Linked DNA regions of Notamacropus eugenii. The protein of the gene in region 1 binds, or shares a complex with, the protein of each later gene. Links are inferred from orthologs where the notes say so. Each region holds a gene or a part of one and is shown on either strand. Other genes may lie near its edges.

The links. The genes of interacting proteins can lie anywhere in the genome.
Region 2: WRAP53 (region 1) and DKC1 share a complex: the UniProt entries of both Homo sapiens proteins name them as parts of the telomerase holoenzyme complex. The link is inferred for Notamacropus eugenii from reciprocal best matches to the Homo sapiens genes WRAP53 and DKC1.

The regions. Positions count from the first base shown.
Region 1 is NC_092873.1:78,281,997-78,289,891, forward strand, and holds the start of WRAP53 (telomerase Cajal body protein 1), read right to left. Parts: upstream 3,017-7,895; 5' UTR 2,795-3,016; exon of another isoform or gene 2,635-2,794; 5' UTR 2,527-2,634; coding exon 2,315-2,526; intron 2,163-2,314; coding exon 2,064-2,162; intron 1,801-2,063; coding exon 1,689-1,800; intron 1-1,688. UniProt on the Homo sapiens protein: RNA chaperone that plays a key role in telomere maintenance and RNA localization to Cajal bodies. Specifically recognizes and binds the Cajal body box (CAB box) present in both small Cajal body RNAs (scaRNAs) and telomerase RNA template component (TERC).
Region 2 is NC_092879.1:10,721,305-10,728,183, forward strand, and holds the start of DKC1 (H/ACA ribonucleoprotein complex subunit DKC1), read left to right. Parts: upstream 1-3,873; 5' UTR 3,874-4,013; coding exon 4,014-4,029; intron 4,030-4,616; coding exon 4,617-4,684; intron 4,685-5,133; coding exon 5,134-5,220; intron 5,221-6,083; coding exon 6,084-6,175; intron 6,176-6,879.

The sequences.
Region 1 (7,895 bases):
CAGATTGCCTCTGAAGATGAGAAGAGGAGTGGGGGTTACCTAGTAGGGTTGTCCTCATGTGCACTTGAAAAACACTGCAATCACAACCCTACACCCCAAAAGACTGTCAGCAACTGGGTGAAGGATTAATTGACTTGGAATAAGAACGGAAGCAAGAAGACCAGTAAGAGTTTATTACAATAGTCCAGGCTGGAGCTGATCAAAGCCTGAACCAGAATGAAGGTGGAAAGGAAGAAAGAGACAGACTATTAGGGAAATCAAATCAATAATATCTGGTAATTAACTGAATGTAATTTGTTCTCCTTGCCTGTAGTTCAAGTGATAAGAGTTCACAGATGTGAAGACATGGGGCGGGGGGAAGAGAAGAAATAAGGTGTTAACACTCAATTCCTCTTCCAAATATGAACACCTCTCTAAATCAGATGAGGTAACTCCACTGAGCTGAAAACTGGCTAGGTTCTTTAAATAGCTAAGCCCTGGAAACAACCAGCAGCTTAAGAGTTCAGCAGTCAAGGCCAGGAACCAGCAATCAAGGAAGAATTTAGATATTCACCTCTTGGGAGAAGGGACTTTTTCTCTTCCCTGCTCCAACAAGCCAAAGAAATTTGTTCAGAGAGACATCCAACAGATAATGGAAAATCAGTTCAAGAAGAGTTTGAGACAGAATTGAGGTGACAAGAGAAATACTTCAGAAACTGATTCAGAAAAGTGGTCACTAATATCCAGAACTACCTTTGTGACTGATCCAGGTCTCAAAGCAAAAGAGAGAAACCAGCTATGGACTGAAGAGGGCTAGCCCTGGCAATCTAGAGTCAAGTTCCAGCTCAAGAAAGAGACAGACCTTAGGAACCACATAAAGCATCCCAGTCAGAAGAGATGCTGTGCTTACGAGGGAGCTTAATGATTCTAAGACTTTGAACAGTGGGGACTAGGAAGATAGTGGTAACATCAACGGAAATACATGCCAGGCTTCTTTCAAAGCTCAGCTCAAAAGCCACCTCCTTCAAAGGAAGCCTATCTTGACCCCCAATGCCTGAAGAAATTAGTTTATACACACACATGTATGTATATATATGTGTGTACATGTGCATATATATGTACGTGTGTGCATATATAAATTTTCTATGTATGTCTTACTTTCCCTAAGAGAAGAGAAAGGTCCTTGAGAAGGATAGAAGTAGTTTTACTCTTTCTTGTCCTACTATCAACTGGAACACTGCCTGACATATTGTAGGAGCCAAATGAATACAAAGGAAAAAAAATCCTCCCTTACTCTAAAGAAGCAAAGGATATGGGACACAGGGAAAATAATAGGAGGAAGATTTTAACTGTGGTATTAGGAAAGGCTTAGAGAACACAAACAGACTTCGAGAGAAGCTAAGGAAAATGTGGGAATGCTTTTCAGCCCTAGAAGAAACCTACAGAGTCTGGTTGGACCGTGTACAGGTTGTACAAAAGGAATAATAGGAACTAAGTCTGTAAAGATAAATTATGGCCAGATAGTGGGAAGTTCTACACTTGCATTTTATCCTAGAAGCCACAGGGAGACCAAGGAACATTTCTCTTCAAAAACTTGATGTGGGTCAGATTTATATAAAGAACTTACTATTTACAATCAGGAAGAAAAGACAGGAGGGAACATCTTCCGTAGGGGTGACTGAAGAAAAGGTACAGGTTCCGACACTCACCATTTCTGCATTCTCGAGTTCTTCCTCCTCATTATACAGCTCTGGCGGGAGGTTATAAATCCGCAAGGTGTTGTCGGCACTGTTGGTCAAGAGGCAGGAGCCATCGGGGGCCCTGGAGGCAGAGGAGATTTAGGCTGGATGCCTGGTAGCGGAGTGAGTGGGGAGGTAGGAACTCCTGAGTCCCTGAAGGAAATGGCAGGCACTGGGTCCTGGGAGAGAACTGAGCAATAAAGACCCAGTTCAACTTAATTCAAAGAAGACAGCCCAGATCCAACACCTCCCTGCCACTACAATCTTGTCCTTTCTCATCCAGTACCCTCCCCGCCATCTAATTCACCCAGAATCTTCCTTCTCCTCCCCCACCATTATCCTTACCATTTACAGCCTTTTAGGAAGTTCTCAGGTTGCAAGCTGAACTCTGACCAGGAGCCATTGAGGAGGCGAGGGGGCTGGGAGAAATTGTAGCTCCAGGAGCTGGAAGGAGATGAAGAGTGGGCGCTAGGCTTCGGGAGGACCAGGGGGAGGGGCAGGACAGCCGCGCTGATACTTAGTTGCCGAAGGAAGCAGGGCTGGGAGGGGAAACAAAGCCTTCCCCGAAGGGAGCAGCCCGCCTCCCAGTCACTTACTAGTACTCCTCGCACTCCGGGGCTGGCTCCTGCAGGACTTCCTCCGCCGGCTCACCAGGCGCGAATTCGGGGGCTGCCCCCTCACCCTCGGGGAGGCCGTCGGTTGGGGCGGGCTCCTGCCCTTCTCCAGCAGTCACCTCCTCCACAGGGGCTTCTGCGTCCGGTCCCGGAGGAGCAGGGGTCTCAGGGTCCCGCTCTTCCCCCAGCTCCATAGAAGGGGTCGGGGGCTCCGCTGGCTCGGGCGCAGCCTGGGGGGCGTCATCGCTGCAGCAGGGGGCGAGTGCTGGCTCCGTGGTTATGGTTATTGGGCCCTGGGAAACCTAGGGAAAAACATGGGCCAGGTGGGCGGCGGGGGGCGCTTAAATGTTTGTGTGCACCGCACCGGGCGCGCGCCCCCACACGCACGCGCACACACAAACAAACCCACGAGGGGAGACGCGGGACGCTCCGAGGCGAGGCCTGCTGGGGGAAGGGACTTGCCTAAGATCACAAAAGTAGTGGCGGCTAGAGCCGGCTTTGTGGTGCGCAATACAGGAGGCCGAGGGGGGCCCGCAGGAGTCGAGGGGCGCCTTGCTCTCCACGGGCTGGTCGGGCCACAGGTCCCGGCTCCCCAGCGCAGCCCAAGCCCAGCGGCCGCCAGCCAGGTCCCCCGGAGTAGCGGGGCGCGAGCCAGAGACGCCGTCTTTCTCTGGCGAGATTTCCGCCGGCCTTCTGATTGGTCCTTAGTTGAGCGGGCTACGGAACGGCCGTAAGACAGGCCTGGACTACAACCCCCATCGATCTCCCAGGACTTCCCCCGCCCCTCCGCCTCCGCGGCCACCCTGCTGCTTGCTGGGAGTGGTAGTTCCTAGTCACGTTAGGCAAGGCGCTCTCCCTTCCGCAGCCCCCCTCCCGCCTCTCACCTCCAGGGGACGCCCTGACTACACACTTAGGCCAGCCGCATGGCAGTGGGTGGGGAGGGCTGAGACTGAGGAGGAGAACGGCCCGCCTCCAGTTACTGTAAGCAGTGGAGGAGGCCGTCAAGTCCAGACTTGACATGCGGCGTGTATGGGTGCAGGAGGGCAGGGGACGGAATGCTGTTGGATGTGAGCGGGAGCCAGTCAGAAAAGGAACAAATGGAGCGGATGGTGCTGCTGTGGAGCAAGAGCTGACCCGGATGGTACCGCGGACCCTGGGCAAGTCACTCACCTCTCTGTGCCTCGGTTTCCTCATCTGTAAAATGGACCAAATGAGCTAACATGGAAAGTGCTTTGTAAGCCTTAAAGCGCTTACAGAAATGCTGCTGCGTTTGTCCTTCGTTCTGGAAGAGGACCATGACGTCCAGGTGATGACATGAGTTGCATTGACCTTGACTGGAGGGAGGGAGGGCTGCGCAGGTCACCAGCCTCACTTCTCCTCCAGAGCCATCTGGATCCAAAGACCAGATAGTCACCAGGATGCCTGGAGATGACCCAGGATGCAAGGGAGACCTTGGCCCTTTCAGGCTAAAGCCTTATCATTAGTTATGTCTGGAAAAAGCAGATAGATCATGGAAGATATCAAATGCTAAAAACACTGGCTGTTGCTTAGTGTTGTCTTCCCTAGAGACGCTGAGGAGTCACTGGAAGGTCTGTGGTGGAGAAAGTGATGTGGTCAGGCCTTTGTCCTAGGCAGACCATTATGGCAGCTTGTGGAGGATGGAATGGATGTGAGGGTACCCCACTGGTAAGTTATTTCAGTACTCAAGTGAGGAGTGATTGGAAAATATAACTAGGATGGTTAAGGATGAGTGAAGAAAGAAGAACAGATGGGAGATATGCCCTAAAAATAGGAATGTCAAGACCTAGTAATTTATTGAACATAATACTGGGGCAATCAGAATGAAGACTTGTCAAGGCTAGAGGATGTATTATGTGTGTGCATGTTACATACACACATATAGACTTGGGAATCATCTGTATAAAAATGATCATTGAACCCACAAGAACTAACTGAATCATCAGTGTATAGGGAGAGAGAAGAGGGCCCAGGATGGAGACTTGAGGGATACCCATATTTAGAGTGCCCATTCACTGACTGCCTATAGCAGGAGTGGAGAACCTGCAGTTTTAACAGAACAAATCCTTTTATTAAAAGGGATTTGTTCTGTGAAGTTTGGATTCAGTCAAAGGGCTGCATCTGAGGACTTTAGAGGGCCACACGTGGTCTCGAGGCTGCAGGTTCCTTACCGCTGGCCTATAGTTTCTAGTATAGAATGCAAATTTAAAGTCTTCCACAGTCTGGCTCTGACCTAATTTTATAGCCTTAGTTTATGCTTCTAGAACCTGTAAACATTCCAGTTTTTGCTGAATTTGCACTCCCACTCTTTCCTTAGCTTCTTTCGAGGTCTGCTCAAATGTCTTTCCTAATCTCAAAATCACCAGCCCCAACTGTTGTGCCTCCCATCAATGATAAATAACAATTTGTTGTCAGCAGATTCTAAGACGGCATAGTAGCTTTCCAGGGTCTTTCTTCTGATGATGATCCAGCAAAGGAGGGGACAGAAGAAGCAATCAGAGGTAGGAGGAGCCCCAGAAGAGTCACAGAAATGCTAAGGCTCTGGAGGGTATGATTATACAATGTCAGAGGCTGTAGAAAGGGTCAGTAGAATGAGGACTGATAAAAGATCATGGGATTTTATTAGTGGTAAGATGGAAATTTACCTTGCAGAAAAAACTTTTAATCGAGTATCAGGGTCAAAATCCAGAATGAAAAGTGAATAAGAAACAAGGGAGTGGGAAAAACAAGTGTAGAAAATTTTTTGTAGGACTTTGTGAAAGGAGGGAGAAATAAAGGCAGGATAATAATGATAGGGTCAAGTGAAGGGTTGCTTGTTTTTTAGTGTTTGTTCGTCCTTGGTTGCTGAAGAAGACCATGCCACCAGAGAAGTAATGACATGACTTGCCCTTGATTTTGTTTTGAGGGAGGGAGGGCTGTGCAGGTCACCAGTCTCACTTCTCCTCCAGAGTCATCTGAATCCAGTGACCAGATATTCATCAGGATAACTGGAGATGACCCAGGATGAGGAAATTGGGATTAAGTGATTTGCCCAAGGTCACACAGCTAGTGAGTGTCAAGTGTCTGAGTGAGATTTGAACTCAGGTCCTCCTGACTCCTGCACTGGTGCTCTATCCACTGTACCACCTAGCTGCCCTTGTTTGTTTTTTAATGATGAGAGAGATACATGCTCATGTTTGCAGGCAATGGGAAGGAAGTATTGACTCCTGATAACTCAAGATTGAAGAAGAGAGAGGGGGAATGATTAAAGAGTAAAATTACAGAAGAAGAGGAAAGGGGATAAACAAGAGTACAAAAGTAGAGGTCATGGCAGGGTAAGGTTCTCTTCCTTACAGACTCAATCTCTCTTTATCCACTAGTTTCTTCCCTCCTACCTACAGACATGTCCAGATCTCTCCTATCTTTAAGAAGCATTTACTTGATCCTACAAATCTCCTCAATGTAACCCTTGAAAGTAAAACTCGTAAACAAAGGTTAGGGGTGGGAGGGTCTATATTTTTTTTAATATTTTGATAACTGTATTTCATCAGAATTGGTTTCAATTGTAATCCCATATATTTTATCTTATACATTTATAAACCCTATTTTAAGAAGGGGTTCATGATGCAAAAAAGCTTAAGGACCTGATCCTGGAAAAAGCTGTCTATTGCTTCTATTTTATCACACACACCCCCCCACTCACTTTTCACCCTTTTATGATCTGACTTCTAAACTCAACTGTATATACTCTCTCCAAGATCACTCATGATAACTGTGTCCCTAAATCTACTTTTTCTCAGTTCTCATACTTCTTGACATGGCTGTTGATCAGTCCCTCCTTTTAGATGTTCTCTGCTCCCTCCTCCGTTTCCTTTATATGATCATGCTTCACCCTTCACATGCAGGTATACCTCAAGACTCTCCCTTGCTCATCCTTTCTGTATATTCTCTCTTATTCTTGTTAGTTCTTATGAGTTCAACTATTATCTCTATTCAGATGACTATCAAATCTATATATCCAGGTCCCATCTGTCTCCTAAATCCCAGGCCTGCATCTCTAACTACCTGCTCAACATCTCCACCTAAGATGTACCATAAGCATTTCAAACAGAACATCCAAAAGTGAACTCATCTTTTTTCCCTTAAGCCTTCCCCTTCCCCTAACTTCTGTTGAGGACTCCACCAGGTTTACAACTTAGGATTGCTGACTATGCATTCTCACTCATCCCTTCACAAGTTTTTTTCAACTTTAACCCTACAGTATGTTTCATATCCATTCCCCTCTCTCCACTTACCACAACTACTCTTGTTCAGTTTCTCATCACCTCTTGCTTAGACCATCAAGAGCCTCCTAAGTGGTCCCCCTGAATCCAGGCTCTCATCTCTCCGAACCTATCATCAGCACAGCTTCTGAATTGATATTATTAATGTACAGACCTAATTATTTCTCTTGGTTAGGCAGTGCCTTCACATTGCTGCTAAGAAGAAATAGAAAATCACATATTGGGTAATTAATCCACAATTGCCAGGGCTCCTGCCTGTCTTTCTTTTTTTAAGTTTTGCTTTATCTCATATTTTAAGAAACTACTTTTCTCCCTTCCAGTTCCTCCTAAACATAACAAATATGCATAATGAAGCAAAACAAGTTCTCATATTGGCCACGTCCAAAAAAATGTATGTCTCATTCTGGATTCAAAATCTATCATGTCTCTGGCAAGAAGTGCAAAGCTTGCTTCATCTTAGGTCCTCAGGAAATGTGATTTGTCATTTCATTGACAAGAGTTCTAAAGTCTTTCAGAGTTGTTTTTCTTTATAACATTATCATTGTGCACATTGTACTCTACTTCTGCTCATTTCACTCTGCATCAGATCACAGAAGTATAATCCGTTCCCTCTGAAATTGTCCATTTAATCATTTCTTATGGTGCAATAAATATTCCATTACACTCATGTACCATAATACATTTTAGCCATTACCCAATAGGTGGGTCCTCCCAGAGTTTCTAGTTTCTAGCTAGTACAAAAAGAGCTGCTATAAATATTTATATATTTATATATATGCATATATGTATGTGTATACATATATGTATATATATGCTTTTTGCCTTTTGTCTATGATCTCATAGGGCAAAAGTCTAGTAGTGGTATTTTTTTCATATAAATTGATTTATTTTCAGTTTTCAACATTCTGAGTAGTGGTATTACTGGGTCAAAGGCTAGTAACTTTGGAAGAATAGTTCTAAGTTGCTTTCTACTATGGCTAGACCAATTTATAGCTCCATCAACTATATGTTCTTTCAAAAAGTCCCTGCAAACATTTGTCATTTTCTTCTTTCTCCATCTTTGCCAATACTACTGGTATGAGGTGGAACCTTGTGGTTTCTTTCATTTGCATTTCTCTATTGACAGCACTGATAAATACACCATTTTCATGTTCACGAACTCTGAAATTCCCTTATCTGCTCACAAACCATTGTCATTCTATCTCTTTCTCTGCCTTAAAACCCCAAACCTTGTTTTTCCTCACCATAACCTCCAGTCCCTCATCCCCTGTACTAGCTATTCC
Region 2 (6,879 bases), on another chromosome or scaffold:
AATTGTTCCCGTATCCTCGAGGAATTTGCCACTCCCTCTCTTTAATCCACGATATCTGTTTATTCACTGGCTCCTTTCTTACCTCCCAGGAGCATAGCCAGATCTCCCCTATTCTTTAAGACAAAACCAAACCAAACCAAACTTTCATTTGGTCCTACTATCCCCTCCAGGAATCTTTTCTCTTTCACAGCCAAACTCTTAGAAAAAGTGGTCTTCAGTGACTACCTCCACATCTTTACCTCCCACTCATTTTTCTACCTTTTCCAATCTGGCTTCTATTATCACCCCTGCACAGAAACTGTTCTCTTGGCTTCATCAACAATCTCTTAGTTACTATATCCAAGGGCCTTCTCTTAGGCCTCATCCTTTTTCCTGTCTCTGGACTAGCCCTCTCCTCCTGAATATTCTCTCTGCCCTGGGTTTTTGTGATACAGACCTCTAGTCTCCTCACATTCCTTTGCTGGAATCTGATCTATATGTAGATGTGCACTAGATCTCCATCCTGGGCCCCTCTTCTCTTATATCAGCTAGCTATACTCTCAGTGATTTCATCAGCTCCCATGGGTCCAACTATCATCTCTGTAGCTGACTCCCAAATCTACACATTCAGCTCTCTTTCATTTTCCAAGAAATAGGCCCATATTACCAATTGCTTGTTACATCTTATTGGACCATAAGCATATCAAACATGTCCAGAAAAGAACTCATTTCTCCCCTTCAGCTTACCATTCCTCCTAACATCTTTATTTCTCTATTATCCTTTCAGAACCCAGGTTCATAACCTCAAAGGCATCCTCAACCCTTCAACAATCAACTGATCAATCAAAGAACATTTAGCAAGCTCTTCCTACTATGGTGCTAAGCACTAGGGATTTAAAAAGAGACAAAAGACAGGGCAGAGAAAGAAAAGGCTGGAGCCATGGGAACTGGATTAGTTGGGGAATGGAAGACGAAGTGGACTTGTAAGATCTCTCTCTCTCACACTCTCTCTCTCTCTCTCTCTCACACACACACTCTCTCTCTCTCTCTCTCTCTCTCTCTCTCTCTCTCTCTCTCTCTCTCTTTCTCTCTCTCTCTCTCTCTCTCTCTCTCTCTCATACACGCATATACACACACACACCAGAACAGTTTCCTTGTTATACTGTGAAAATGTATAGAGTTCAAGCATGGGAGAAGAAGATACAGTTTCAGGGATTCAGTTCTAAGAACTAACAGTTCCAAGAGGGTACCCTGAAGCTTTAATAATAATAATAATAATAATAATAATAATAATAATAATAATAATAATAATAAGATGTAGGGCTTGCTTGAGTTCTTGGCACATGTAATTGTTTCTGCTAAATAATAATTGTTTCTCTTTTACCCAGGAACCCTGAAGGTCTTCTCCCAGTTTGATTTTTTTTTTTTAATTTTTGATGATCAAGGGCCATCCCTTGAGCAGCTACTTAAAGAAGCCTATTCATTGAATGGGTGTATCTTACTCAAAGTGAGAATGCTATAGGAACCTTAGCCTGAAAGGGCCAGGGTCTCCCAGTGCATTCTGGGCCATCTCCAGTCATCCTGATGACTATCAGGCCACTGGACCCAGATGGCTCAGGAGAAGAAAGTGAGGTTGGTGACCTTGCACAACCCTCTCTCACTCAAATCAAAGTCAACTGCAAGTCATGTCATCATCTTGATGTCATGGTCCTCTTTGAGAACGAAGGACAAACACCACCACCACCACCACCACCACAACAACAGTAGCAGGTGCTAGGGCTTTGTAAATATTTGCTGAAATGATTTGAGGGCTTTGCTTGAAGGTGATACATACAGGAAATGTTACTCTGAAGTCAATCCAAAGAAGAATGAGCAACATTTTGAATACTAAGTTGCTGTTCTCTGTAGAAGCATGGGAGGCCAGCCACATGGTATGGTGGAAAGCCTGGAGGGCTTAGAATCAGGAAACCTGATACTTTAACTTGCTAGTGTGTGAGAGTCACACTGTTTCTCTGTAAAATGGAGTTAGATAATACTTGTTTATTCTTGGAGTGATAAAGGTGAGGGAGTTCTCATTTAACAGAGAGAAGGCTGGCCTTTGAACAGTGAAGTCTAGAATTCAGATGTTTGGTTCCTTATGCCAGGTGTAAGTCCCAAAATTCCCAGTGCTTCTGAAGAGGGATACCATGTAAGTGCCATGTAACCTGTCTCAGAAGGGACAGTCTCAGAAGTTATTGCTTCTGCTGGAGGATTTCTGGGGTCAAAACTAAGGAGGAATTAAATTGATTGGTCTTGGCTAAAAGTTTCTTACCTAGAAAGCACCTTCACCCACCCACCCACTCATGACCTTAGTGATCTTTGTCTCTTTACTCCTGTACCTTTGCCCTTCTTGTCAGTTAATTTCTATACCCCCATCAACTTTTTCCTTACAATGTATATTCATTTAATTCTAAGTGTCATTAATACTGTGTCTAGCCTCCCTACCAGGCTCTGTCCTGGGCCTGCTTCTCTTTTCTCTCTATACTGTCTCTTGAAGACTTGATCATCTCTACATAGTTGCCTCCAAAATCCATATATCTAGATCTCATATCTCCCCTGAATTTCAGTGGTGTATTTCCAACTCCCTAATAGATATCTCCCCATTTCCGTTCATTGTCTTTCCATTTAATTAAGTTCCAAATTTTATAGTTATCTTTGATTCTTCTAGATCTCTCTCATACCCTCTTCCCCTCAATTTCTAAGCTGTGATGAAGTCCTGTCAATTCTAGCTTCCCCTCATCTCTTGCGTTTGTCTCCTTTGCTTCACTCACATGCCCCAAACCCGAGTCCAGGCCCTCACCTCTTTCTTGAACCACATGCCACAACAGTCTTTTAGCTGGTCTCTTCTCACTCAAATCCATCTTTCCAACAACTCCCTGAATAATCTTCCTGAGACCCATCATACAGCAGTTCCAAATTCTTCAATGCCTTGCTGTTGCCTCTAGGCCAAAATTCAAACCCCTTGGTGTGGCTTTTAAGGTCCTCCATAATCTGGCTCCAAGCTATCTTTTCTAGTCTTTCCCATTATTCCCATTTTAGCTCAACTGTAGTCTTGGTTGTTTCCTATAATGTACCACCTCCCTGACTTCATCATTCAGGCCATACATATGTATACCCCATGCCTGAACTGTAACAGCTTCATCTGGGGGACATCAAGGCACAGTTCAAGTGCCGCATCCTCTGTGGCTCTTTCTTTGATTTTCCCCCACCTCAACGGAAAGTGCTCTCTCTCCCCCTCCAATTCTTTTGTATTTCGTCATTTGTTTCCTTTCGGAATTTGGGAGAAACTAAGATCTTGAGAATAAGCCAGATCTGGGGGTTTGCCTTTATATCCCCAACACAAGCATATAGCAAGGGCCTTAAAAAAGGCGAATGCCAACCAATTTGGGGGAAGGGGTGGGTTGCAGCTGTGATCAGCAGCATCTGTGGGCTCCGTGGGGTCCTCGAGAGCGGCCAGGACGGGGAGGGGCACGGCTGTCACACGGCGCTGCCCACCCAGCCTGGAGGTCTGCAACCAGAGGCTGGCACGGGAAAGGGCCGGATGCCAGGCCTTCCGGGCGTGGGCGCAGCTCATAAGAATGAGGGCCGAGTGGCGAGGCCGGTTATTTTACAGCTGAGGAAAGTGAGGCGCAGAGGCACGACGCGACTAGGCCGGGGTCACAACGGCGGACCAGGTTAGGCCGGGCAGGGCCGGGGCGGTTCGCGCTTCCGCTCGCCCCCCGCCCATCCGCTCTCCCGGGCGCGGCGCCCCTCGCCCCGCGGGCCCGCCTCTGCTCTGGCAGCCAATCAGACACACGAAGACCGCTACGGGGCACCGCCCTCAGCCTCTGGTCAGCCAACGGGCGCCCTGGGACGCTACGCGTCACTCTGACGTTAAAGGAGGCCGGCTCTGGGACCGCACTGCCTCACGGGACGGAAGCGGGCTGCCTTCAGTCGTTCCCTTCTGCGCTGGGCTAGAGCACGCGGGCCGGAGGCCCCTGGTTGTGGCCACCAACATGGCGGACGGCGAAGGTAAGAAAGGGCCTCCGCTCCTTTGCGGCCTCCCGGATCTGTACGTCGCGGCGTCCGGCGAGAGCGGCTCACGCAGGGCCCAGCGCGCGGGGGGTGCGGGGCCTGAGCGCCGTTGGCCCGGGCAGGGCCCGAACCTGGCGCGCGGTCCCCGCCTGCGTGCGGCGGCTCGGCTCGGCTCGACCCGGGGCGCTCGGGGAGGGCGGCTCGGCTCGGCTCGGCTCGGCCCGGCCCGGCCCGGGGCGCTCCCGGAGGGTGGCTCGACTCGATCCGGGGCGCTCCCGGAGGGCGGCTCGGCCCGGGCGCTTTAACCGTTATTCCTAGTGGGCGGGCGCGTGCGGGCCCCCGAGGTTGGGGTAGGGGAGGCACAGCATGTCCTGGCAGCCCCCGGAAGCTGCCCCTTAGCTGCGGGTGGTGCCGCGGACGGGGGTTGCTGCCGATGCCCGTGCCCCTGCCCAACCTGTGAACGGGCCACGTGGTGACCCTGGGGAAGGAAGCACGTGTGGGAGTCCTGGAGAAGCAGCCTGATCACGGGCCTGGGCACCCACGAGCCCCAACTTCACAGACATCTTTTGGTTTTTTTTTTTAAGTTGTCATTGTATCCAAGAAGCACAAGAAAAAAAAGGAGCGCAGAGTGTTGGGAGAAGACGATGTCGCTGTGAGTACACGATGCTTTTTCCTTGCCAGTATTGGTAATTCCCCATTTCTTCTTGGGAACTGTAGGATTGGGCCATGTTTAGAAAAGAAAGAACCCGGATGGTGTGCTCTTTTGAGCTAGGAGAGCACCCACATTTGTATTCTGGGAGTCACTCCTCTAGCCTGCTCTCAGGATTCCAAGACAGTATTCACCAAGTACTGTTTGCCACATGCACTCTGCAGTCCTTTCTGCCTTTTCTCTGGAGTATTGGAACACAACTGGCCAGTGTTTTTCATATTTTGTTTCTTTGTGTTTCTGCTTGGTTCTGTGTACCGTTTTTTGGGAGCCACAATCATCCGAAAGGGTTAGGATCAGTTGTTAGGCTTTGTATTTTCTGGCCTGCCTGCACTTAGAGGAAATGCCTGTAATCTATGAAATTGAGGTCATTGGACTTTTTCATCCTGCCTTAGGATCTACAACATGAAGGGGAATTCTTCATCAAACCTGAATCTAAAGTAATTCAGTTGGACACATCTCAGTGGCCCTTACTGCTAAAGGTAAGGAATATGTAAACGTTATACATCAAATAATTGCCTTGTGATTTTATATTGGTTGGGGTTTAATTGATTAAATCAGTTTTGGTGCACAATCTCAACTAGTTCATTTTGTAAACTGAGTTCTGTATACCTGTAAATTCTAGTGCATGGTAAATGTGGTTTATGCATTTTACAAAAAAAGTCCTGTTTATAGATCTGTTGCCAGTTTTTCGTGTCTTCTATAAAATTATACAGGCAGATTTTTGTTTTGTTATTTAAACAAAAACTTGAAGATGTGTATTGTCTAATTGAATTGTTCTTTATGCTATAAGACTTCTCACCTATTAGCTAAAGAAGCATTTTGTTCCTTGTGCTGAGTTGTTCAGAAAGCCTGCCCAAAGAGGCAGTATCCATATCTGTATCCTCAGTGGGGGGCAGCATAATTTTGACAATATACAGTCTCCCTTCCCCCCCATCAGAATCACATAGCACAAGTTGTATCTGTTATTTAAAGCATTTCATTTAAATACTCTGATTCCTTATATTTCATTTTGGGAATCAGTACTGTAGGTAAGAATATTAGAATTTTGAAACTTAAATATTTAGTAAATCCCACAGTGCTCAAGCAGAAATATAAAGTTCTCAAACCAAAAGAAGTCCATTCGAGAGGCCCATGCCTTCTGCTATCTGCAGTGTGATAGCTCAGAAAAATGATTTTGGTGAATTGGTTCCTGGTGTAGATTGGTGGTTTTGTTGATTCATTGGATTTTCCATGTGTGGGACCAGTTGGTCTTAACTCTGGGTCTCTTAGAAAAGGGTAAGTCAAAAAATTGAGAATTTGCTTGCTAATTGAGTTTGATTTGTGTCCTGTCATCACTTTTTAGAACTTCGATAAACTAAATGTAAGGACAACCCACTATACTCCCCTTCCTTCTGGATCTAACCCTCTCAAGAGAGAAATTACAGACTATATCAGGTAAGCTGTTTTGCCAAGTAGTGACTTTTCATTACCTTGGGTTCAAACCTTCTGCCCACTTATATTAAAACTCTTAAAATAAGTAACATATTGGAAGTAATATAATCCTTCCTGTTTGGGGGGTGTGGGGGGGTTTGCTTTAGTACTGTCTGGGGCAATTTGCAGATAAAATCCTATTATATGGCAAAGGGCATGACAAGGCTTTATAACAGAAGTATGTCCATGCAGACTGCCTATGACTTGACACCTGAACTAATATGGTGGGCAAGGAATTCTGCTTAACCAGCAGGTACGACATTTTTTCTCCAATCCCTGATTGGGGGTCAGTTGCTCAGTAAATGTACCTGTTTATCTGCTGTTACTACTTCAGGAAGAGAGGGAGAGAGGGAGCTGTGTGCAGTGAGAGCTTCATGACTCTTGTGCTTCTCACTGAGCAGCAATTACCCTGTGGTGATTCTCATCTCTGTGCACCTGAAACATTGCCAAACATACCTGTTTACTCTACACAATACCCTTAACACAGCAGGGAGGGGGAGGGGGAGGACTAACGCTTGTCTGACATTAGGCTCATAGCCCTTGGACTCCTGGCCACACAGCACCTAGGAAAGTGCTCTCCAAATGACAAAACAAGTTGTAATTTGGTCAAGTGGAGTTTGTTATCCTGAGATTTTCCTTGTATCGCCAAAGCAGTGGCAAACAAGCAC